Canis lupus familiaris: one gene and its partner. The protein of the gene in region 1 purifies or fractionates together with the protein of each later gene. This does not show direct contact. Links are inferred from orthologs where the notes say so. Each region holds a gene or a part of one and is shown on either strand. Other genes may lie near its edges.

The links.
Region 2: the proteins of RAN (region 1) and IPO9 purify together in Homo sapiens (affinity purification with mass spectrometry; 3 studies listed by BioGRID and IntAct, with this or other methods). This does not show direct contact. The link is inferred for Canis lupus familiaris from reciprocal best matches to the Homo sapiens genes RAN and IPO9.

What each region holds. Positions count from the first base shown.
Region 1 is NC_049247.1:1,620,391-1,625,982, forward strand, and holds RAN (GTP-binding nuclear protein Ran), read right to left. Parts: upstream 3,042-5,592; 5' UTR 3,030-3,041; coding exon 2,994-3,029; intron 2,886-2,993; coding exon 2,801-2,885; intron 2,728-2,800; coding exon 2,602-2,727; intron 1,774-2,601; coding exon 1,586-1,773; intron 1,417-1,585; coding exon 1,246-1,416; intron 1,151-1,245; coding exon 1,106-1,150; 3' UTR 1,092-1,105; downstream 1-1,091. UniProt on the Homo sapiens protein: GTPase involved in nucleocytoplasmic transport, participating both to the import and the export from the nucleus of proteins and RNAs. Switches between a cytoplasmic GDP- and a nuclear GTP-bound state by nucleotide exchange and GTP hydrolysis.
Region 2 is NC_049228.1:1,256,537-1,262,449, forward strand, and holds the start of IPO9 (importin-9), read right to left. Parts: upstream 3,310-5,913; 5' UTR 3,260-3,309; coding exon 3,097-3,259; intron 1-3,096. UniProt on the Homo sapiens protein: Nuclear transport receptor that mediates nuclear import of proteins, such as histones, proteasome and actin. Serves as receptor for nuclear localization signals (NLS) in cargo substrates.

The DNA.
Region 1 (5,592 bases):
ATCCAACGAAACCTTTGCAATGTTTCACGTTTCAAGAAGCCATTCTAAGATCTACTTTTCTATTTAGTGTTCGTGCCTTTGAATTGGCCACAAAAATCCTTCAGAAAAAAAAAAAAGCATCAAAGCTGTGAGATGCCCAACTTAAATCCTTACTCTTCAGCATCTTTAACACTCAGAAATACTTGAAAGCAGCGGGTAATCGTGGAACATCTTTCTAGAGTACCAGCTTCACATTAGACGTTAACATTAAAACAAAATCAAATCAATGCATAACTTACACTCATTTTTAACAAATGAGACTCCTGTCAAGTCCCCACCGTCATCTGTTATCGTTCTACCAGATTCTGAACATCCCTACATGAGAGCACGGTTACTGGTCACAAAATAATGTTAACTGTAATTCTTAAAATGCCTATCCGAAACGTCTAGTAGTTTTGTTCCAACAGGTCACAGAAGTCCAAAGCTCTTCCCCAGGTGACACCACCCAGTCTGAAGGCAGATGCGACGGGCATCGTTTTAGCTTCACCACGGATGCTCACCCCTCTAACAATCTACCAAACGGAATACTGCGGATGTCTGCCCTGTCACCTGTGTGAGAGGATCCAAATGTACAAATAGACAAGAACTTAACCTGCAAAGATTCAAATTAAGGGAGAATAGCAAAGGCCAGTTCAACAGTAACGTGGCACAACTTTTCCTGTTAGTGGTTTTAAGATGCTTACCAAACAAGGGAGGAGTTCATTGGCTTAGATATTTGAAATACAACTTTATTCTGATTCTAAACGAAAAGGAATGGGAATGACAGTGACAAACGAGATTTCACCACTGGATATTGTGATGGGACTGTAGCAGTCTCATTATCTGAAACTCAGGAAGGAAACAACTGCGTTCCAAAACAGCTAAGTATGCAGGTCCAAAAAAATGAAGGTACTGTTTAAACTGCCACATTCACTCCGAAGCCCATTCATCTCCTTCAGCATCCCAAAGATTAAGCACATGTTCTGCTCAGCTATATAATAAAAGTGGCAAACACGCTGCACCACTGACATCACAGGACAGTTGCCTATAAAACTAGACTTCTGACGCTGGCCTCCAGCTGCACTTCTCACAGGTCATCATCCTCATCCGGGAGCGCGGTCGTCTGAGCAACCTGGACAGAGACACAACGTCAGGACACCATGGGTTAGAGCCGTCAGGACACGGGACACCCAAGAGATCCCACTGACGGACCCATCTGCCACCTACCTCTAGATCGTGCTCGTACTGTGCTGCCAGAGCTGGATCCATGACCACCTCTGGGGGGGCAAGAGCAGGCATGGCGACAAACTCCAGGTTAGGGTCTCCAATTAGTTTTCTAGCAAGCCACAGGAACGGCTTCTCAAAATTGTAGTTACTTTTGGCAGAAATGTCATAGTACTGTTCCATAAAATAAAATAAGTTTTTAAAAATCTACTTCTTGAGGATCATTGAAATGTTTAAAACTAAAAATAGTTTTTCCATCCATACCACAGACACAATTTCCTTTAGTGGATCTATTACCGTAGTTTCATCTTAGAGAAAAACAATTAAGTTTTAAAAAACATACCTGAAGGTTCTTCTTTCGGTGGAAGACGATAGATTTTGCCTTAACTTTTCTGTCCTTAATATCCACTTTATTGCCACAGAGCACAATGGGGATGTTCTCACACACTCGTACCAGATCTCTATGCCAGTTAGGCACATTCTTGTAAGTAACCCTTGACGTTACGTCAAACATTATAATGGCACACTGGGCTGAAACAGATGTAGGAAAACTGTTACACATGTATGACTTCTTGCACAAATGAGGAATGCTAAGGAGCACGGGCTAGGGGACAGGCCCAATCTGGCTACCTCTGCTTCTGCACTCACTACACCCCAATGTCTCTCTCTTCCAAGTTTAAGGATCTCCAACCACTGTAATACGTAACAAGATTTAAAGTTTCATTTTCTGTGTGAGTGTGAACTACCAGCCTAGCTTATCAAATCTCTCCCGTAATACTTCATTAATTCCGTCCCATCCCAGAATCTCAAGTAGACTACCGATAGAGCAGCACCCTAAGACAACTGGTCTCCTCTATTCTGAGGATCTCAGAACCTGCTCTTTAAATGATCCTAAACTACACAAAAGAGTATGTTATTCTGCCTTAAAACACGCAGGCCTACATACTGACCTATGAGGAACACAATTCTAATATAATTGAGACAACAAACCGAAGTATGTACAGTCTAGGAGTTTCCTAATTAAACACTTTTTAAGAAGAGAAAAAAAAAGCTGTGTATCTGTAACATAGCAAAGGATGCAAAATATGGAAGGACTCCCAATCATCTTTCATCACAAGAGATCCCAGATGACATTTTCTTCCTGTCTTTATCTGCCACTCTACAGTGCCCTTGAGGGAAAAAAACAAGCAAAAAAACCCCCAACCAGCCCCAACGACTCCGGCAGCCACAGCAGCACCTCGTGGGATGCTCATTGTCTTAGGTGAGGAGCCCGCTCCGGGTCCCGGCTCCAGGCTCCAGGCTCGGCGCTGCGCCCATCATGACACAGCACGCGGCAGCCGCCGGCCCGCCCTCACCCACCTTGGATGTAGTAGCCGTCCCGGAGCCCGCCGAACTTCTCCTGGCCGGCGGTGTCCCACACGTTGAACTTGATGGGGCCCCTGTTGGTGTGGAACACGAGGGGGTGGACCTCCACGCCCAGAGTGGCTGCAACACAAGCACGGCCGTCAGGTCCGCTCGCGCCCCGCTCCCGGGGGCCCCCGCGGCTCCCCCCACGTACCTACATACTTCTTCTCGAATTCACCCGTCAGGTGACGCTTCACGAACGTGGTCTTGCCGGTGCCGCCGTCGCCAACCAGCACCAGCTACGAGACAGGACGCGGTCGCGGGGGGCGGGGGGGGGGAGGGGAGGCCCCGGCGCCCCCCGGGCCGCGCCGCCCCGCTCCCCCCGGCCGCCCCCGCGCACCACCCACCTTGAACTGGACTTGGGGCTCTCCCTGGGCAGCCATAGCGCTGGTGCTGCGGGGAGACAGACGTGGGACGGCTGGCGGCGGGGCCCGGGCCCACATGGCCGGCCCGCCCCACGTGCCCGGGCCCACAAAGGGGCTCCGGCGGCCGGGCCCCACGCGCGCACGCCCGGGCCGGGGCGGGGGCCGCGGCGCGCTCCCGGCGGCGGGCGGGCGGGCGAGCGGCGCTGCTCCGGCGGCGGGTCTGGCGGCGCGCCCGTGGGGGAGGGAGGCCGGGAGGCCGGGGCGGAGGCCGGCGCGCGGGGCGGAGGCCGGGGCCGCCCGGGGCCCCGATCGCGCGCCCCCCGGCCCGCGCCGCCCCGGGGCCGCCGCCCGCCCGGGCCCACCGCGACTGGCGTCCCGGCCACGGTCTTCGGTCTCTACGGCAGGGGACGGCGAGAGCCCGCCGCCGCCGCCGCCGCCGCCCCGGCCCGCACGACTGCCGCCCGGCCCCGGCCCCGGCCCTCGCCCGGCCCTCGCCCGGCCCCCGCCCGGCCCCCGACCCCCCGGCCCCCCGGCCCCCCGGCCCCTGGCCCCCGCGGCCCCCGCGGCCCCCGGCCCGGCCCCGCTGCCTTACCTTCCAGAAGCGTCTCCGGCCCGTCTGACTGAGGGCTGGAAGATGGCGGAAGCGCAATTCAAATGCCCGGAGACGCAGCCGACGCCGGCGCGCGCCGGGGGGGGCGGGGCAACGGCGCCGCGTCGCTCCCACGTGGCCCGGCGTGCGCGCGCACGCACGCCGCGGGCTCGGCCGGCCACACCCGTCGGCCGGGCGCGGAGGGGAGAGTCGCGGCGGGGCGGCAGTCGCGCTCGGCGCGGGCGCGCGGACGCACGCCGGCTCGCGGGGCCACGTGCGCCGGCCCAAGGGCGGGTTCCAGCGCGCGCATGCGCCGACGCCGACGCGGCGCGCCCAGCTGCGGCCGCGCCACGACACTGGGAGGAGAGCGCAGGCCTCTTGGGCGGGAAAGTCGCGGGGAGCGGCCGACACAAAGCCCCGGGCCTCCGGGCGTGGGGCCTCGCCGTGGGCGCGCGGGACGGTGCGCCGCGGGGGAAGCGGGCGCGTGCGGAGGCCTTGGGCCCTGCCCCTGTGGCCCTGCCCCTGTGGGCTCTCGCGGCACCCCGGGCGCTCCGACCCGCACCCTCTCCCGGAGCCGCCCGTCCATCTGCCACCTGCCTCCCCCGGGCCTCCATCACCCTCTCGGCCGCTTCCTGCGCCCCCGGCCCGGCCCGGCCCCGGCCCTTCCTCCCAGACCCCGGTCCGCAGAGCCTGCCCTGGGCCCCCGCCGCACCCCCTCCTCTCACCTGGACCCCGCGGGCCCCTGCCTTGTGTTTCAGGCCCCCCCACCGCCCACACCCGGTGTCCCTGGCTCCAGCCAAAACCTTACTTGGGGGTAAAGGGTGCAAAATCGATGCTTTTTCTCACCCTAAAAGGCAGCCACCCTTTTGTTAAAGCATTTCCTTGGTCAGCAGCCTTTGTGACTGTATCCTGCGCACAGGATGACGAAATCGTGTTTTCAAACCTGGCGGCTCGCATCCCAGTTACAAATTTGGATGCAATCGATGAGTATGTAGGTTCCAGACTGTGGAGACAATAAAGCTGGCAAGAATGCAGACGAGATCCATGCACTCAGAAGTCACATGCTGCTGGGGATGCCCACCTCGTAGGGCCGGTGTAGGCAGAAAGTAAGATGAGCCACAAGCTCAGCAAGTGTTGACAGTTAACTACTATTCATTCTCAGCAAGGAAGTGGGCCAAGTGGAGTCCTCTAACCTCTTACCCTAAATCTAGGGCCAGTTTTTGGCATTTGTGTGGACAGCCACAGATTCTCCATAACCCAGATCCTCTCGGCCCCCTCTGCAAGCAAACATCCGCACTCGCGGCAAGAGTAGTACCGCTGGTGGCCCCATCAGAGTAGTCTGGTTGCTCAGGAAGGATTCCACCGTGGGGACTCTTCCCAGAGCGCAGAGAACCCAGATGACGGAGGAGGAGTTAGCCACTTAGTCTTCAGTGCCCTTTGCAAGCAAACCTATTGGGAACACAAGTGATGCAAATTGGGCACAACACTTGGGCGAATCTGCCTGCTGGGAACTCCAATCCCACTGCTCTCCAGGACCCTCAGGAAAACACCAAACAGATCTCTATGCTGCTTGGGTGTGACCATTGCTTTGGCCTCTCTGGAAAGCAGGAACTGATAAAACATGAGTGCCGAGAGCTGGCGACCCTGTAACTTCCACTTCTAGAGAGATTCTCTGGAGTTAAACTCACACATATGCACAGGGAGACAGTATCTCAAGCGTTCGCTACAACATTATGGCAACAAAAAATGCAGCTTCCAGAGATACCCATTGGTAGGGAAACTACAAATATTTAACTATTACAGTATGCCATCTGAAAGGAAGCAAGTTCATCTGTATCAACAGGGTTAGATCTCAAAGGATAATGTTGAGAAAGAAGGAAGTTCAAGAAAGATGTGATAATGGTCTTAAATAGTCCACAGTATATGTAGTTTTATAGAGAGATTGTACGGTACAATACCATTTATGTACACTTTTATACATATTAGTTCTTG
Region 2 (5,913 bases), on another chromosome or scaffold:
AGACTAAATGACCAGAATGTACTCTGGGCTCCAGCAACCTCACATTTTCTAGGATACTTCTTAAAATCTCAGCTTCCTAAGAATCTGGTCGGAGCATGTCAACCTCTCTTGTCGGTCCACTTAACAAAAGTTAACAAATACAGATTTGTGTCCCTTCCCTCAAAATTAGAAATTCTTCCACTTAAGCTCCAGGATTAAGAGTCATCACCTGGCAACCAAGGAAGGTGGTACACCTGTTTGGCAAAGGGAGCAGACTGGTTAAAGATTAACTGGGACCACTCTCCCATGTGAGGCAATAATAAATGACTCACAAAGACAGCGCGGTTATTTGAGGGGACAGAGGGACTAGAAACAGTTAGATTTGGTTGTCACCTAACACTGGGCTCCACGGAGCCAAAAAAAATCAAAAGATGACCAGAATACAGATAGTAACAGACACCAACCCTCAGATTTCTCATTTACTTCAAGTTTTAAGGAAGTGTGTTTCCTAGGGCAGGAAAGCAAGGTTCTTCCACTAGGATAAAACTGGAATGTAAAGCAACTCCAAAGGAGCAGCCAATAGTTTGCTCATTCATTTACAAGAATGGTTCCTACTTTGGCCTGCAGGGTGTTGTAATATAACAGGAAGAGCAGCATCCTACTAGTTTTACCAGGACAGACAGTTGGCTAACTGCTGGCCGGGAAGCGAGGTGCCTGTATTTTCAGGTAAAGGCAAGCAATGGGTAGTAGAAAAGAAACTAGTGACCATGTTAAGGAGCCATTTGAGATGCAGGCAGTATATAAGACAGGAGGTACTCTGGACCCAATGGCAAAAAATAACTTGGTAAAGGCCGTAAAAAGAGGCAGGGAGAGAAGCAAGGTATTATATCTGAGGAATGGCTCATCACCCTCCATCTAAAAAGAGGTTATTGAAAGGGGTGAATTTTTATGGTTTTAAAATAAACATAAGGAGTGGCCTACTTAAATACACAAATTGCCTCCAAAGGGTCCAAAGCACGGTAATCAACTCTAGAGACCTGGTCTAACTCTGTGCATCACATCCTAACCCCATGAGTCCTTGCCTGAGTACTAGAGGCCACCAATATCCGGTCACTATATTAGTCCTTCCTTGCTGCACAGCATGCCTGATGGCGCATTACCAGTCAGTTAAGGTGGTGCCTTTCAGTCTATTCCCGTCAGTGGCCTAAATCAAATGCAAAATTCTGCATTTCTGTTTTAATTTTAGATTTCAAGACCCCCAACAGATAAAGGGAGCTAGAGGCTTGAATTTCAAAAAGATCCTAAGGAGTTTATACAGTAATAGGCTATGCAGATGAGACCAAGGCACAGGCTGGAGAAGGGACCAGGGCCCAAGTGGACCTGTTACTGGACAGTTAGAATGTGCACCAAGGTTCACCTTTTGTAGGGAGGTGCCAGACATACATCGGGCACCGGGAGATCCGGGTGTCATTCAGAGAAGGCATCAGACCCTCAACTTCATTCAAGGAGTAACTTGAATGAAATGAGGAGCCTTTGCTTTGTCACTCTTCCTCCTTCACATCCAAGGGAGGCAGAGACAATGGAAATAAAAAAAAAAAAATTCTACCTAGGAGACTAATAACTGCATCAATCTATGCGTGGCTCTCAAAAAGCTTTCTTCTAACCAGAGGTTTGCCCCTATTGTAGAGTCTGACATTTTATGGAACAATGACGATCATAATCAGGCCTTCAAAACGGTCCTTAACCTGTTGTATCCCAAATCTCAACGTGTTTCCGACAGAAGGAAATGCACATTCAGCAGCCCTGTCGTGTAATGGAAGGGGAAAGAAAAGCCCCAAGGCCAGCTCGGGGGGCGCGAGCCCAAGGTTCTGAGCGCGGCCGGGCAGCGCACGGGGAATTTCCCGCCTGGGAAGGGGTCTGCGAGCGCGGCCGAGCCGGGGGAGGTCCTGGGGAAGCAGGACAGGCCGGGCAGACGCCCCGCGTAGAGACCGAGAGGATTTTTCCCTCCTGTTTTAGGATCAAATCGTTCTTTGTGAACTGGCTGAGCGCGGTCCGGTCGGAGGCCGCGCAGCGGGGAACCGACCGGCCGTCTGAAACCAACAGTCCCCCATTTTTCCTCCACCGTTTAGAGCGTGGAGCAGGGGTGCGAGGGACAAAGACTCAAAGACAAAGGACGATCAGCTCCTCCGAACGGAAATGCACACGGAGGGGAGGCGGGGGAGGGGGCATTTACTCAGCGCAGGTCGTCCCGATAATGAACGGGGAGCGCGGCCAGGAAGGCGAGCCAGGCGCACGTGCACTGAAGGCGGCTTCTGCGGAGGCGTGGAGAGGCCTGGGGAGGCGGGGCGGCGGCGGGAACCAGCGGGGCGCGCGCTCGGCCCCGACCCTCCCGCCGGGGCAGCAGCTCGCGGGCGCGGACCGCAGAGCGGCCGAACCCCCCCCCCCCCCCCCCCCGCGAGGCTCCACCCCTGCCCGGGCGGGACCCCGACAGGGCTGTCTGGCCACGCGACCCCACGGGGGCCTCCAGGCCCCGCCCCCGCCGCTAGGCTCCACCCCCGCGGCCCCAGGCCCCGCCCCCCGCGAGGCTCCACCCCCGCCCCCAGCCCCGGGTGGAACCCCGACAGGCCTCCCCGGCCACGCGACCCCCCGGCGGCTCAGGCCCCGCCCCCTGCAGACTCCACCCCCGGCGGCCCCAGCCCCCGCCCCCTGCAGACTCCACCCCCGGCGGCCCAGGCCCCGCCCCCCGCCCCGGGCGGAACCCCGACAGGCCTCCCCGGCCACGCGACCCCCCGGCGGCTCAGGCCCCGCCCCCTGCAGACTCCACCCCCGGCGGCCCCCGGCCCCGCCCCCTGCAGACTCCACCCCCGGCGGCCCAGGCCCCGCCCCCCGCCCCGGGCGGAACCCCGACAGGCCTCCCGGGCCGCGCGACCCCCCCGGCCCCGCCCCCGCCGCGAGGCTCCCCCCCCGCCCCGGGGGACCTCGGCCTCCCGCTGGGCCTCGCCGCCCCGGGCTCCGCGGGCTCCCCCCGCCCCCCCCGGCTCCGGCGCCGCGGGCAGCGGGCAGTCCGGCCCGGGGTGGGGGGGCGCCCCGTCCTCGCGCCGGCCCCGCCTCACTCACCCTCCGTCACCTCGAGCACCTTGATCTGCTCCTCGGCGGCCGCCCGCACCTCCTGCACGGGGGACAGGATCCCGGTGAGCGTGTCCACCAACGCCTCCTTCAGCCCTTGCGCCACGGGACCCGGCAGCCCGGAGGCCGCGCCAGCCGCCGCCGCCGCCGCCATCTTCCTTGCCTTCAGCCCGCCAGCCCCGCGGCAGGGACCCGCCGCCGCGCGACGGCGCCCGCGCGCGGCCAATCCGCGAAGCCGCGCCTGCGCACCGGGGCCGGGCGGGAGCGCGGAGGGGGCGGGGCCGGGCCTGGGCCTCCGGGGACAGCGCCCCCTGTGGTGGGCGCGGGGCGGCCTCCCTCGGAGCGGGGCCGCGACCGAGGACGCCCGATTCGTGGACCTCGCAGGTAGGAGCCACCTTGTTGGCAGGGAGGAGCTGTAGGGGCCCCTCGGGGCAGGGCGGGCCTCCCTCCCACCCCGCACACCAAACACGGAGAAAAAAATAACTAAAAATTGGCTCCAGTGAGCCTCATCTCAGCTTCAAGAAGAATTCAAAGGGAGATCCCGGGGTGGGGGGCGCTCCGCGGTGGAGCACCTGCCTGCGGCCCAGGGCGTGACCCCGGGGTCACGGGATGGAGCCCCCCCATCGGGCTTCCTGCATGGAGCCTGCTTCTCCCTCGGCCTGGGTCCCAGCCTCCCTCTCTCTGTGCCTCTCATGAATAAATAAATAGAATCTTAAAAAAAAAAAAAAAAAAGAATTGGAAGGTAGGGGGAGAGGATCCCAGTGCACTGGGCAGTAGGGAGGGTCACCTGCGCTGTTTCCGGCCTGCTGGAGCCCAGCTTCAAAATTGGGGGGAGAGGGCAGGGCATCGGGAAGGGGGTTTCCTCCAGGGGAAGGCCTGAGAGTGGACCCCATTCGCTGACAATGTATGCATTTCTCTTCCCTCCTCCCCACCTGGAGAAATTGAGGCTGGACGTCCAAGCGGTGAAGGAGCAAGAGGACATCCTAGGGCTGGTGGTAGGAAAAGGCTGATGGAAGAGATTCCCAAGTGCTGGAGCAAGTGGAGGGGACTATGCAGAGGGGTTACTAATGCAAGGCTGTTAAATACGACTTTTAGAAGTAGAGGGATGCTTGTTGCTGGGATGGGATGTCTGCAGCAGGAGGAACAGGTGATTTTTAGCAAGCTGTTCAGGTTGACTGCCTTAAAATGGTTTCTAGGAACCCTGACTCTCATTCCCAAGAGGCAGAGGACACCAGATGGTAAGCCCTAGCCCAGTTCTAAGACCGTGACTGCTACGTGGACAGTACTCTGAGGCTGTCACCCATTGGACTGTTCTTCCTAAAGATGGGTTCCTGGATTTGAGGGAGCTCTGAGCACATTGGTCACTTCCCATGTTAGAGGACATGTGGGTCTCGTTACCACAATTTCATAGGGAAAAAAGATTGCTTTGCGGACCTTGAAATTCCACAGTAGGGGTAGTAGGACTTCTTTCCCTTCTTTCCTTGTTCCATTAGAACACCTTTTTTTTTTTTTTTTCCCCCTGGGTTAATTCACTTTTACTTCTGGAAGAAAACAGGAAGGTCCAGAGGGTGGTGGATCTTCAAACGTTGTGGCAGTGGACGGAGGACCCAAGAACCCTGTGAAATCCGGGCTGGCGAAGGATCCTGTGTCTGCAGCATGCAAGTAGGATCCCCAGCCCCCCACCCCCAGCCTTCCTTGACCAAAGGGGTCCAGCGCTCCTGCTTCGGATCTGAAGATTTTCCAGGCAGATGAGGTTTACCTCTTGGTTAGGCAAATGACAAGCAGTCTCACCTTGCGGATCAAGGAATGGGCCACAAGATAAACGGAGACAAACCAGACAGAGGGGACCAGAGAGCCAGTGGACAATACAGGAGATAACTTTATTGAAACGCAAATGGCATCGAACAGATGAATCTTGCCGGGAGGAGACATGCCTGATGGAACAGAGGGCCCAGATAAGAGGGGCCTCTGGCAGTGATGGAGGAAGGCCTCTTCAGCTGGCCTGCCATGGACTTCATTGTCAACCAATTTTTGCTTAAAACGAATTACTGAGGGGACAACTCAACTCTCTTCATGATTGTTACCGCAACTATATACAATGGTTTGCTTTCCAGATTCAAATTTGCTTTCTCTACATTAGATATAAAAGGGGGTAGATTGAAAGAGGGGGAGGGTCCAATGAGGGAAAAAAAAAAAAACACAGACACACACATATCCTGGTTTGGGGCTTTATGTCCAATAAATTAAAAAAGAAAAAGAAACCTGTTGTAAAAATTCCTACCCACTTTCCACCTGAGGATTGCCACGCATTTGAGAAACACAGACTCCATCGCATAAACAGTGCTGCTGAAAACTGGGTGGGGGTGGGTGGGGGGAGGGAAGGAAAGGAATCTAGTAGGGGTTGGAATTCATTTAAAAAAAAATTGTTCTTTAAAAAAAAAAAAACAACAACACAAAAACCAACAACAGTAACAAAAACAATTAAGTGGGAGGTTCTTGCACAGCAGTAGCCCAGACACTGGCCGGGGTATGGGAGCTCTTGGCTTATTATCCAACATCTTCAGTCTCTGAGGAATGAATGGCTGGGAGCCAGAAGGTCCCCTGGGAGATGACCCAAGGCCTGTCACCAGCCTTCTGGGGACTGAAGGGGTGAATTTAGTGCAATTTGTTTTACGCTTGTCTTCTAATAGCCTTAGGTCCTCCTCCCAGTGCTTGGTCCTAGATTTCAAGAGGCCCTAGTCCTAGCACATTTCTTTGTCCTCTACCCACAAGCTCCATCTCAGGGAAGACTGACAAACTGGAAACAAA